2 linked regions of the Oryzias latipes genome follow. The protein of the gene in region 1 purifies or fractionates together with the protein of each later gene. This does not show direct contact. Links are inferred from orthologs where the notes say so. Each region holds a gene or a part of one and is shown on either strand. Other genes may lie near its edges.

Region 1 (4,443 bases):
GCAGCCTACAGGAGGGAGGTGGCCAGTCTGGTGACATGGTGTGGGGACAACAACCTAACCCTCAACACCGACAAGACAAAGGAGATGATAGTGGACATGAGGAAGGAGAGGAGGAACCCTCATCAGCCGCTTCTTATCCGGGGTCTGGAAGTGGAGAGGGTGAGCAGCTTCAGATATCTGGGGGTTCACCTCAGCCAGGACCTCACCTGGACACTAAACACGTCACAGCTGGTGAAGAAAGCTCATCAGCGGCTGTACTTTCTGAGGAGGCTGAGGAGGTTCGGCATGTCCCCAAAGATCCTCAGCAACTTCTACAGCTGCATGGTTGAGTCCATCCTGACCAGCTGCATCACAGTGTGGTACGGCAGCTCTACCGCTGCGGACCGCAAACGCCTGCAGAGAGTGGTAAAGACTGCGTCCAAGATCACCAGGACTCCTCTTCCCTCGCTGCAGAGCATCTACAAACGCAGGGTCTGCAGGAGAGCTGCCTCAATCATCAAAGACCCCACCCACCCGCAACGAGGACTGTTCACTCTCCTCCCCTCAGGACGGAGGTACAGCAGTGTGAAGTGCAGGACCACCAGATTTAGGAACTCTTTCTTTCCCTCTGCCATCAGACTCCTTAACAGCTGACTGGAGTCTGGAAAAAACAAACTGCACCTTTGCTTATCCTAATTGTTGCTATTGTCATTGTCACTTTTGCACATTTGCACTTTTACAACTGCCACTCGACATCTTGTGTTTTGTGTGTATGATGTGAGTGAATTGTTTTGTTTCCTCTATACGTTTGGCATTTGGAGCAGACAGCAAAGAAAGAATTTCATTGTGCAGGGAAACCCGTTTCTTTACTGTGCATATGATAATAAACCCTTTGAATCTTGAGACAAGATTTACATATCTAAACCTGTTAATATCTTACCTATTTTATGCATAAGTATTTTCCTTCACAATAGGCACATATATAGTTGAATTTGCCCAAATTCAAGCTCCCTGTGAACATTTTTGTGCTACAGATGTAACAACCATCTCTTTTAAATTATATAGGTTGTGACTAAGCACTGCAGTATTGTGACTTTTCTCAAGATTTCCCTTTGGATCTTTTCGCAGGCGTTGTCTCCCCCTTGTGGTGCTTAAGGGAATTACAGTGTGTCGATGTCAACATCTGTTCATTCATTTTTGTTCGTCACAAAACACGAAGCAACAAGAAGTGATCAGTGCAAAGCTTGTTATTGTTGTCGTCGGTTTTTGTCATAGTACGCTAAGATGTATAAAGAGGCGATCCTAGCAGGATGTGTATCCAGTGTCTGAAGCAGAGGCGCGTGGACGCCGAAAGTTACACCTCGTTATTTTTCCGGTCGTTTTAAAAAAAACTTCTCGGTTTAAATGATCAGAATAAGCGGTGTGCTCGTTGGGGGATTTGTGAATCATTTAAATAGTTTTGGTGATTGTTTTTTGTCTGGTGCGTAGTTTAAAAGTCACTGTCTGGACACAACGTCACCTTTAACTCGGAAAAAAAAAGCATATGACGGAAAAAAAAAAGCATATGACGGGAGTTTACCAGGAAAAGCTCTTTGGGGGGTGATTGGCATTTGCATTAGCCAATAGGATTTCAGAGTTCGCACACTGAGCCCGCCTTGGCTGAACGTCGGCCAATCTATATTTAGTACGAGAACTTCCTTCACAAAGACGGAGCATGTTCCTTTGTACGAGCAGTTCTGAAAGAATATTGCTGTTTTAGGCAGTGAATACGCGATTTTGTTTATAATTTTACGCTGGATTGGAGAACTGTTGTCACTTTTCAGAAGGACTCGAGGGGGATGATGGGAAAGTAACTGGTGGTTAGTGCAGCTATCGAACTACGGTGCTCTCACCGAAGGAATTCCAGCATCATCCACCTTGCTCCCCGGTTGGCACGAACTAAGTAAGGCCGGTCCGCAGTAACGTTACGGGCTTTTGGCGTTGATCTGTTGGGGATACAAAGAAATGGCTTCAATCAAGAGAAACCGTGAACAGTGACCAAAGGACGAAGACTGTTATCTCGACAAATAGCCACCTAGCTAGGTTAGCTAGCGAAGCTAACGTTGCCGGGACGACTTCCACTGGAACACAAAAGCGCCGCGCGTGAACGAGGGAGCCGGCCGCCGAGTGTGAGTTTTTCCTTCCCCGTTCGGCCCGAGAAGTTGGTGACAGCCGCGCGCCATGAACGGCTTCAGCACGGAAGAGGACAGTCATGACGGACCGCCTGCTCCGCCGTTCTACGGACAGAGCTGCTGCCTGATCGAGGACGGGGAGCGCTGCGGCCGCTCGGCAGGAAACGCCTCCTTCAGCAAGAGGATCCAGAAGAGCATTTCACAGAAGAAGCTCAAGCTGGACATCGATAAAAGCGTAAGCAGCTGTTCATTTCTCATTTGGTCATTCATTTTCTGAGCTCGCGCGGAGTGTCGGCAGAGAGCGGGAGGCTCGCGGGAACCGTCCTGTCAGCTAGCTGTCAGCTAATGCTAGCTAAGCTAGCCGGTTGATCAGCAGAGACGGTTTTTCGACTCCGGTGGAGTTCCTGCTGCGGAAAACTCCAGTCTCTGTAGGCTCACCTGTGTTCTCGCCTCTCAGGTAAATGTCAGCCCTGTTCGGGCCAGGGGGGGTGTCGGCTCCACTCAGATTCGGGCCGTTTTCTCCAGTACCCCCCGCCCCCGCCCCCCCCGCTTCGTAAAATGGCTGTTTTTCTGCGCAGCAGTGACTGAGCCTGCAGCGGGGCTTCGTCCCACCGAGGTTCACGTCAAACGACACAAAGATCGAAGCTGCTTCCATGACGGTGCAGAAAGAAAAAGTAACGCCGATGCCCCCACCTACCCCACCCCCCGCTGGAATTCATGGTTTTTCCACAGCAGCCTCGTCCTCGTGGGGGATCCGTGACGCCGCGTGACACGAACCCCCACTCACTGCTGCTGTTGTAGTTGATGATGATGAGCAGCTCGGACTGATGAAGGCTTTTTCTGCCCAAGAGCATTCCGTCAGGAGTTGAACCACAGCCCTGCTGCTGCTGTGGCCTGATTTTCTTATGTTTAGTTTCTAAACTCATAACTTTATTGATTCTACTTCCTTTAGTGACACAATCACCCTTTAACCACATTTACCCATTTATCTTTTTCACAACAACAAAACTGTTTGAATAAACTAATACTCTCTCTCTATTCAAATCGATGTGAAAAAAAAAAAACCTACTACGGCAAGCAGTAAGCGTCCCGCTCTGCTCCATTCTGATGCAGACACATAGATTCGTGAACGTCTTTGTTTTCCTGGTCTGAGCTGGAATCTGGATCTTAGCTGTACGGATGGATGGATCTGATATTGCTGCCATTTTTGTTACACCCCTAATGTTAGGTTGGGGGTTTGAGGGGCTGTGCTCAAACAAACGGATGTTGGGAAGCAGGGGAGGGCTCACTCCATGTCAACGGTCCCCACCACAGCTCAGAGGAGATTTTTCTAATGAACTCCGGCTGCTCTGCAGAAACTATGTCCTAGAAAACGATTCCAAAAGGGGATCATCATCATTAACCATAGATGAAAAGATGATCATATTCAAAATATCTGATTGATCCAACTGAAAGCTGAAACAATGCATGTTCTTCATCTAAACTGCATAACAAAGCACAGTCTTCATCACCAGGGTCAGTAAAGCTGCCGTCTTCCTCTGGCAAAACTTGTTTCAATTTTTCCATTGGAAGCTCTTGGAAAATGGAACAAACATCAGATTTTCTTCTCGGTGAGAGCTGATCTCCTGCCGCTGCTTTGGCAGAAACGCGTCGATTTCAAACCAGCAGCCGAGCTCCTCCGAAATGGAAACACAGAGGTTTTCCTGTTGCGTAAGTCCGTATCTTTGCGGCCATCGCTTGTAGGATATCTTCAGATTTGGTAAAGGCGTTTCCCGTCGAGGCATGAAGGTCTTCTCCGTCCGACTTGCTCTGTAACGTTCACGGTGCTGCACTATTTGCTCAGTTTTCTGTTTGCCTGGGAGGCTTTTCCAGGAAGGCTGAGCCTCATCATGTGACGGGATGCAGGAAGGTGGATTGAAAGCTGCACTTCTGGCTCTCAGCTGAGAAAACTGTTGCAGAAATGTCTGCGGATGCATTTGACCCTGCAGCCCCAGCGGTTTATAGCAGTAGATTGTTGCATATTGACAATTAGACGGTTTATCTGCAGCTTTTTGCTCGTGCTTGTTTGTTGTTTTTCTGTAAAGACTCAGACTTTCACCTCTCTGACTGCATTATTAATACACATTCTCCTCTCAACAGGTGAGACATCTCTACATTTGTGATTTCCACAAGAATTTCATCCAGAGCGTCCGTAACAAGAGGAAGAGAAAGACCAGCGACGATGGAGGCGAATCTCCAGATCACGATGTGGAGGTTCCTGAGGTGAGAGCGGCAGTCAGGTTCTGCTCCTCAG
Region 2 (4,382 bases), on another chromosome or scaffold:
ATGTATTTTCTAAGATTTTTTTTTTTCTGGAAAGTACTACCACAGTGGCAAAAGAGATTTCATGAGCTACAGCTTGACTGACAAGTCAAGTGCAAAATGTTCTGCTCCTGGTTAACATCTGTATTATTTCCAACAAAGAAGAAACTTGCTGATGGAATAAAGTATCTTTTAGCCCAAATTGCCTGATTGGATGAATAATCTCCAGTTTGACTGTAGATGCTGAGAAGAGAAAGCTAAAGCCTTAGTCCCAACTGCTCTTAGGGGTGGGCACGGGCTGTCTGCAGATGAAAAAGGGCCAAATCTGTATGAGACAAGCAGGCGGCCCGCACGAAATTTCAAGATTGTAGACCACTCAGTGAATGTTCATGCTCAGTTTTTCTACGGGCTGGTGCGGGCGGCAGGTCGTCAGGTACTTTAACAACACACAACGGCAGGCACAGGTGAAGTATGTAAGACACAGGCATTTCATGTTGATTTTTCATTTTTTCCGCCCCCCTGAGCAAGAACACCCATACCTCATCAGTTTGTAACTTCCATTATCCTAACAAATACTTCACCATGTACTTACGAAATGCAAAACAATAACCTTTAAGGTGGTTGTGCAAGCCTCAAGGGAACTACAAGACATCTTAAGGAGCAGCCACTCCTCTCTACGACTCTTGACGGGCCAGAAAACCCAAAAACTGTAGACTTTAGACGGCTCGTAGACTGGATCAGGTCTGTGTGCGATTGGAAGAATTTCTGACCAATCGGCATCAAACTTTATGCCCATGTCTGTGATTAACTGGCTTTTGTGACACATAGAGAATTGTTTTGATTGGACATATTTTTAGGTTTCAAGAGTAAAACTGTTTTGTTTGCACTTATTTTTGAGTCTCAAGTGCATTTTTATGTTTCAAGTGCAAAATATTTTTGAGCACACAAAATATTTCAAGTATTTCAAGTACGCTTGGAATAATGGGACACATAAATCACTCCATAGACGAGGACAAGGCCAGAGCAGAGGACCAAGTGGTGTAAGTAAAAAAAAAAGGGCTTTGTGGCTTTGAGGGAGGAGTTGAAGAAGCAGAGGTGAAGAACAAATTTAAATAAGGTTCAACAGTGCAAAGCAAAGTCCAGATAAAGGAGATTTTCACGTGCCTGAAGCATGAATTGAGTGTGAAGTGGGGCTGTGCGACTCTGAGTCTGTCAGAAGGAAGAGGCTCAAACTGGGGTAGAAGGTTGCAGAGTCTTGTACTAAAATGATCTCCTGGTGGCATGGCTAGACTACCACAGACAGAACTGGCAATCCACATATCATGTGTTGATGCCCTGCCCCAAAGACGCAAAACAAAAGAACAAGGACAAAGAAACTTAAAGTGGGGCGCAGGGGCGGAGCCCAACCTTGCCCCGCCCAGCCCACGTAGCCCCTCCCACTCAGCGACGCCGTGCAGATGTTCTCCATCCAGCTCTTGTCTTTCTGTTAACGCGAATTGAGCCTCACCTGTGGAGCTAAAGGAGCTTGTAGCATGGCGTACACGGTTGCAGGTGGAACTAAGAAGAAGGTCTGCTACTACTACGACGGTAAGAGCTGCTGTGTGGCGCACGAGCCAGGCTAACGCTAGCTGTTAGCATCGAGCATGTGCTAGCATCGGTCAGTTACGGTCGGAACTCATTTCTCCGGGGCTAAAGTCTTTTCTGCTTCATTGAAACGGTGTAAAGCCAACATCTGAGGGGGGCACTGTACGTTAAGTAGCCGGCGCCTCACGTCTGTCTCCACCCCTCGTTGTGTGAGTTACGGCTACGTACGTCAGTCTTGTTTGAGACCCAGGCAGTTCAGCCGGCGTTCTGTTGTGATCTTTCAAGATCCCACCGAGGAGAACCCACATCCGGGAACGTATGAGGAGAAAAGCTTTTAACGTCTTTAACGAGGTTGCCGTCCCACAATGCAACCATCCACAGAACACACGACTGGCAGCCTCTACTGCTTCCAGACGAGCACGCGCGGCCTGGCTCACCTACACGTCACGTGACCGTCTGCAGAAGCCCCGGGTGGCTCTAAACCTGCGTTCAGGTCCAAACACAAGCGTGTCCGATCGCTTTAAGTTATTATTTTTTTTTAAATCAAAAACCTGTGTTGTTTTCTGGGACATAGTTTCTGCAGAGCATTAACCTCTGAGTTGTGGGTGGGACTGTTGATGCAGAGCACCCCCCCCCCCCCCCCCCGTTTACACTCTACTCTACCACTAGCTTACAGCCCCTCACAACCCCATCCTCACATTAGCAGTGCAACAAAAAAGATGGCCAATATCAGATCTATCCCGATTCCAGCTCAGACGAGGAAAACAAAGACGTTCATGGATCCATTAGTCTGCAGGTGGATGCCTTAAGGCCCGTACACACCGGGACGAATATTCGCCAGGCGTTATTCGCCAGCGTTTTTCGCCACGTTTTTTGTGTTCACACCCAGGCGATTTTCGCTGACGATGAGTGGAGTGAACATGCAATTTCATTCCCTGACATTAGATGGCGCTTAATGTAAAACTGAAATACTCCTGTACACAAGGTGGCGCTGCGCAACTTTACGCTTCTTAAAGTCGCTTTTCACTCAGAAGAAGAGAGCAAGTTTTTACACGCTTGTCAGAATCAAACAAAGAAAACATGAATATTTCAAGCACCAGTAGCTCCAACTGGTGCTTGGTTCGGGGATGTTTTAGAATGTCCGTCATTATTGCTTCGCGGCTGTGTAGACGCTACTTGGCGTCTATCTTCTTCGCTGGTATGTGTGCTCAGCAAGGCAGTTTTGTGTTTGAGCGCCCCCAAGTTGTGTTTTACTGTAACTTCAGAAGCTCCAGACACGTGAGCAAAAGCGCCGTTCTCATTGGTCGAGTAGATTTCGTCGGAAAAAAAAAACGAACCCGAGGCGTTTTTTTTTGGACGCTTTAACGCCTGGCGTTTTTTCGCGTCGATGTGCACACTCTCGTTGGTGCCCTTTGTTTAGTCACGAGGCGTTAAACGTCGGCGAAAATCGCCGGCGAAATTCGTCCCGGTGTGAACAGGCCTTTAGAGTGGAACAGAACAGGGAGCTTGGGGCTTGCTTATAGCTATTCCCAACTGCATATTTTTTATCCGCTCCTGACTCACAACAGTTTGAACAAAGAAATACTCGGAAATTCAATTTTCTGTTTAATTTTCTTCATATTCAGAATAATGCTGCCAGAACGTGTTAAAAACACCATGTTCATTTAAGCAATTCACTTCACCTTTTTCTGCGGTCACATTTAGCTTAGAGCAGTCCCACGTGCACTAATGACGTGCACATCACTTTGAAATGACTAGATTACTGATGCAGATGTAGATCTTCGTGAACATAAGTGTCATAAAAGTTCAGCCCATTAGAACTGGCACTTGTTTAGAGCGGTTTCATATTTTAATAATCTGACTGAAATCATAATGTAAAGAATAAACTGACATTATGAGATGTCAGAGTACATTTTGGTTGGGAGGGTCCAGTTTGTTGGACAGGGATCAGTCCCGTTTTCTGTCTGCTGTAAACTGTTCCTGGTTTGTTTACTGAGCAGTAATAAATAACGGTGAGGATGTGAGTCATCGTTCTGAAGCTTCGGTTGTTCCACAGATCAGTGCTCTGAGTTGTCTTCCTCTGTCGTTTGCTGCTCATGTTCTCTGTTGGAACAACACAGATGCCAACAGTTGAATCAGAAAAGCTGGTGGAGCTAATGTTGGCAATCTGCATCATTGATTTTGTGTTTTTCTTGTGTCTAGGTGATGTTGGAAACTACTATTATGGACAAGGACACCCCATGAAGCCACATCGGATCCGCATGACTCACAACCTCCTCCTGAACTATGGCCTCTACAGAAAAATGGAGATCTATGTATGTTTTCCTGTGCTCTGTTGCTGTGAGGAGCGTGTCTCCATGTGACCTGATCCTCAGCAGACTTCAGACATTAGGAAACGTCGATTTAGCTTGGCGGTTTGCTCTTAGTTCTGTGTTCGCTCCTGCTTTCATTCAGTTCTGGTTTCTTCCCTTCCACCTTTCTCCTGGTTTCAGAGGCCACACAAAGCCACCGCAGACGAGATGACCAAATACCACAGTGACGACTACATCAAGTTCCTCAGATCCATACGGCCAGACAACATGTCCGAGTTCAGCAAGCAGATGCAGCGCTGTGAGTGGGCTCTGTTGACGTTCAGACAAACTTAAGGAAGCATTTTGTACAGGATACAAGTCAAGTGAAGTGGATTGTCAGTGAAGCTACAATCCGTCAAATGTTTCCAACGCTGGACGTGGGACCACCTACTTTTATTGAGGCATCTGATTGGTCACTTTATAAGTGATAAACCTGAACTATAGACTGCATAACCTAGAGAATTGCATAAC

The links.
Region 2: the proteins of sap30l (region 1) and hdac2 purify together in Homo sapiens (affinity purification with mass spectrometry; 3 studies listed by BioGRID and IntAct, with this or other methods). This does not show direct contact. The link is inferred for Oryzias latipes from reciprocal best matches to the Homo sapiens genes SAP30L and HDAC2.

What each region holds. Positions count from the first base shown.
Region 1 is NC_019872.2:28,917,708-28,922,150, reverse strand, and holds the start of sap30l (histone deacetylase complex subunit SAP30L), read left to right. Parts: upstream 1-1,598; 5' UTR 1,599-2,199; coding exon 2,200-2,385; intron 2,386-4,289; coding exon 4,290-4,412; intron 4,413-4,443.
Region 2 is NC_019882.2:21,614,054-21,618,435, forward strand, and holds the start of hdac2 (histone deacetylase 2), read left to right. Parts: upstream 1-1,388; 5' UTR 1,389-1,508; coding exon 1,509-1,563; intron 1,564-3,762; coding exon 3,763-3,875; intron 3,876-4,052; coding exon 4,053-4,170; intron 4,171-4,382. UniProt on the Homo sapiens protein: Histone deacetylase that catalyzes the deacetylation of lysine residues on the N-terminal part of the core histones (H2A, H2B, H3 and H4).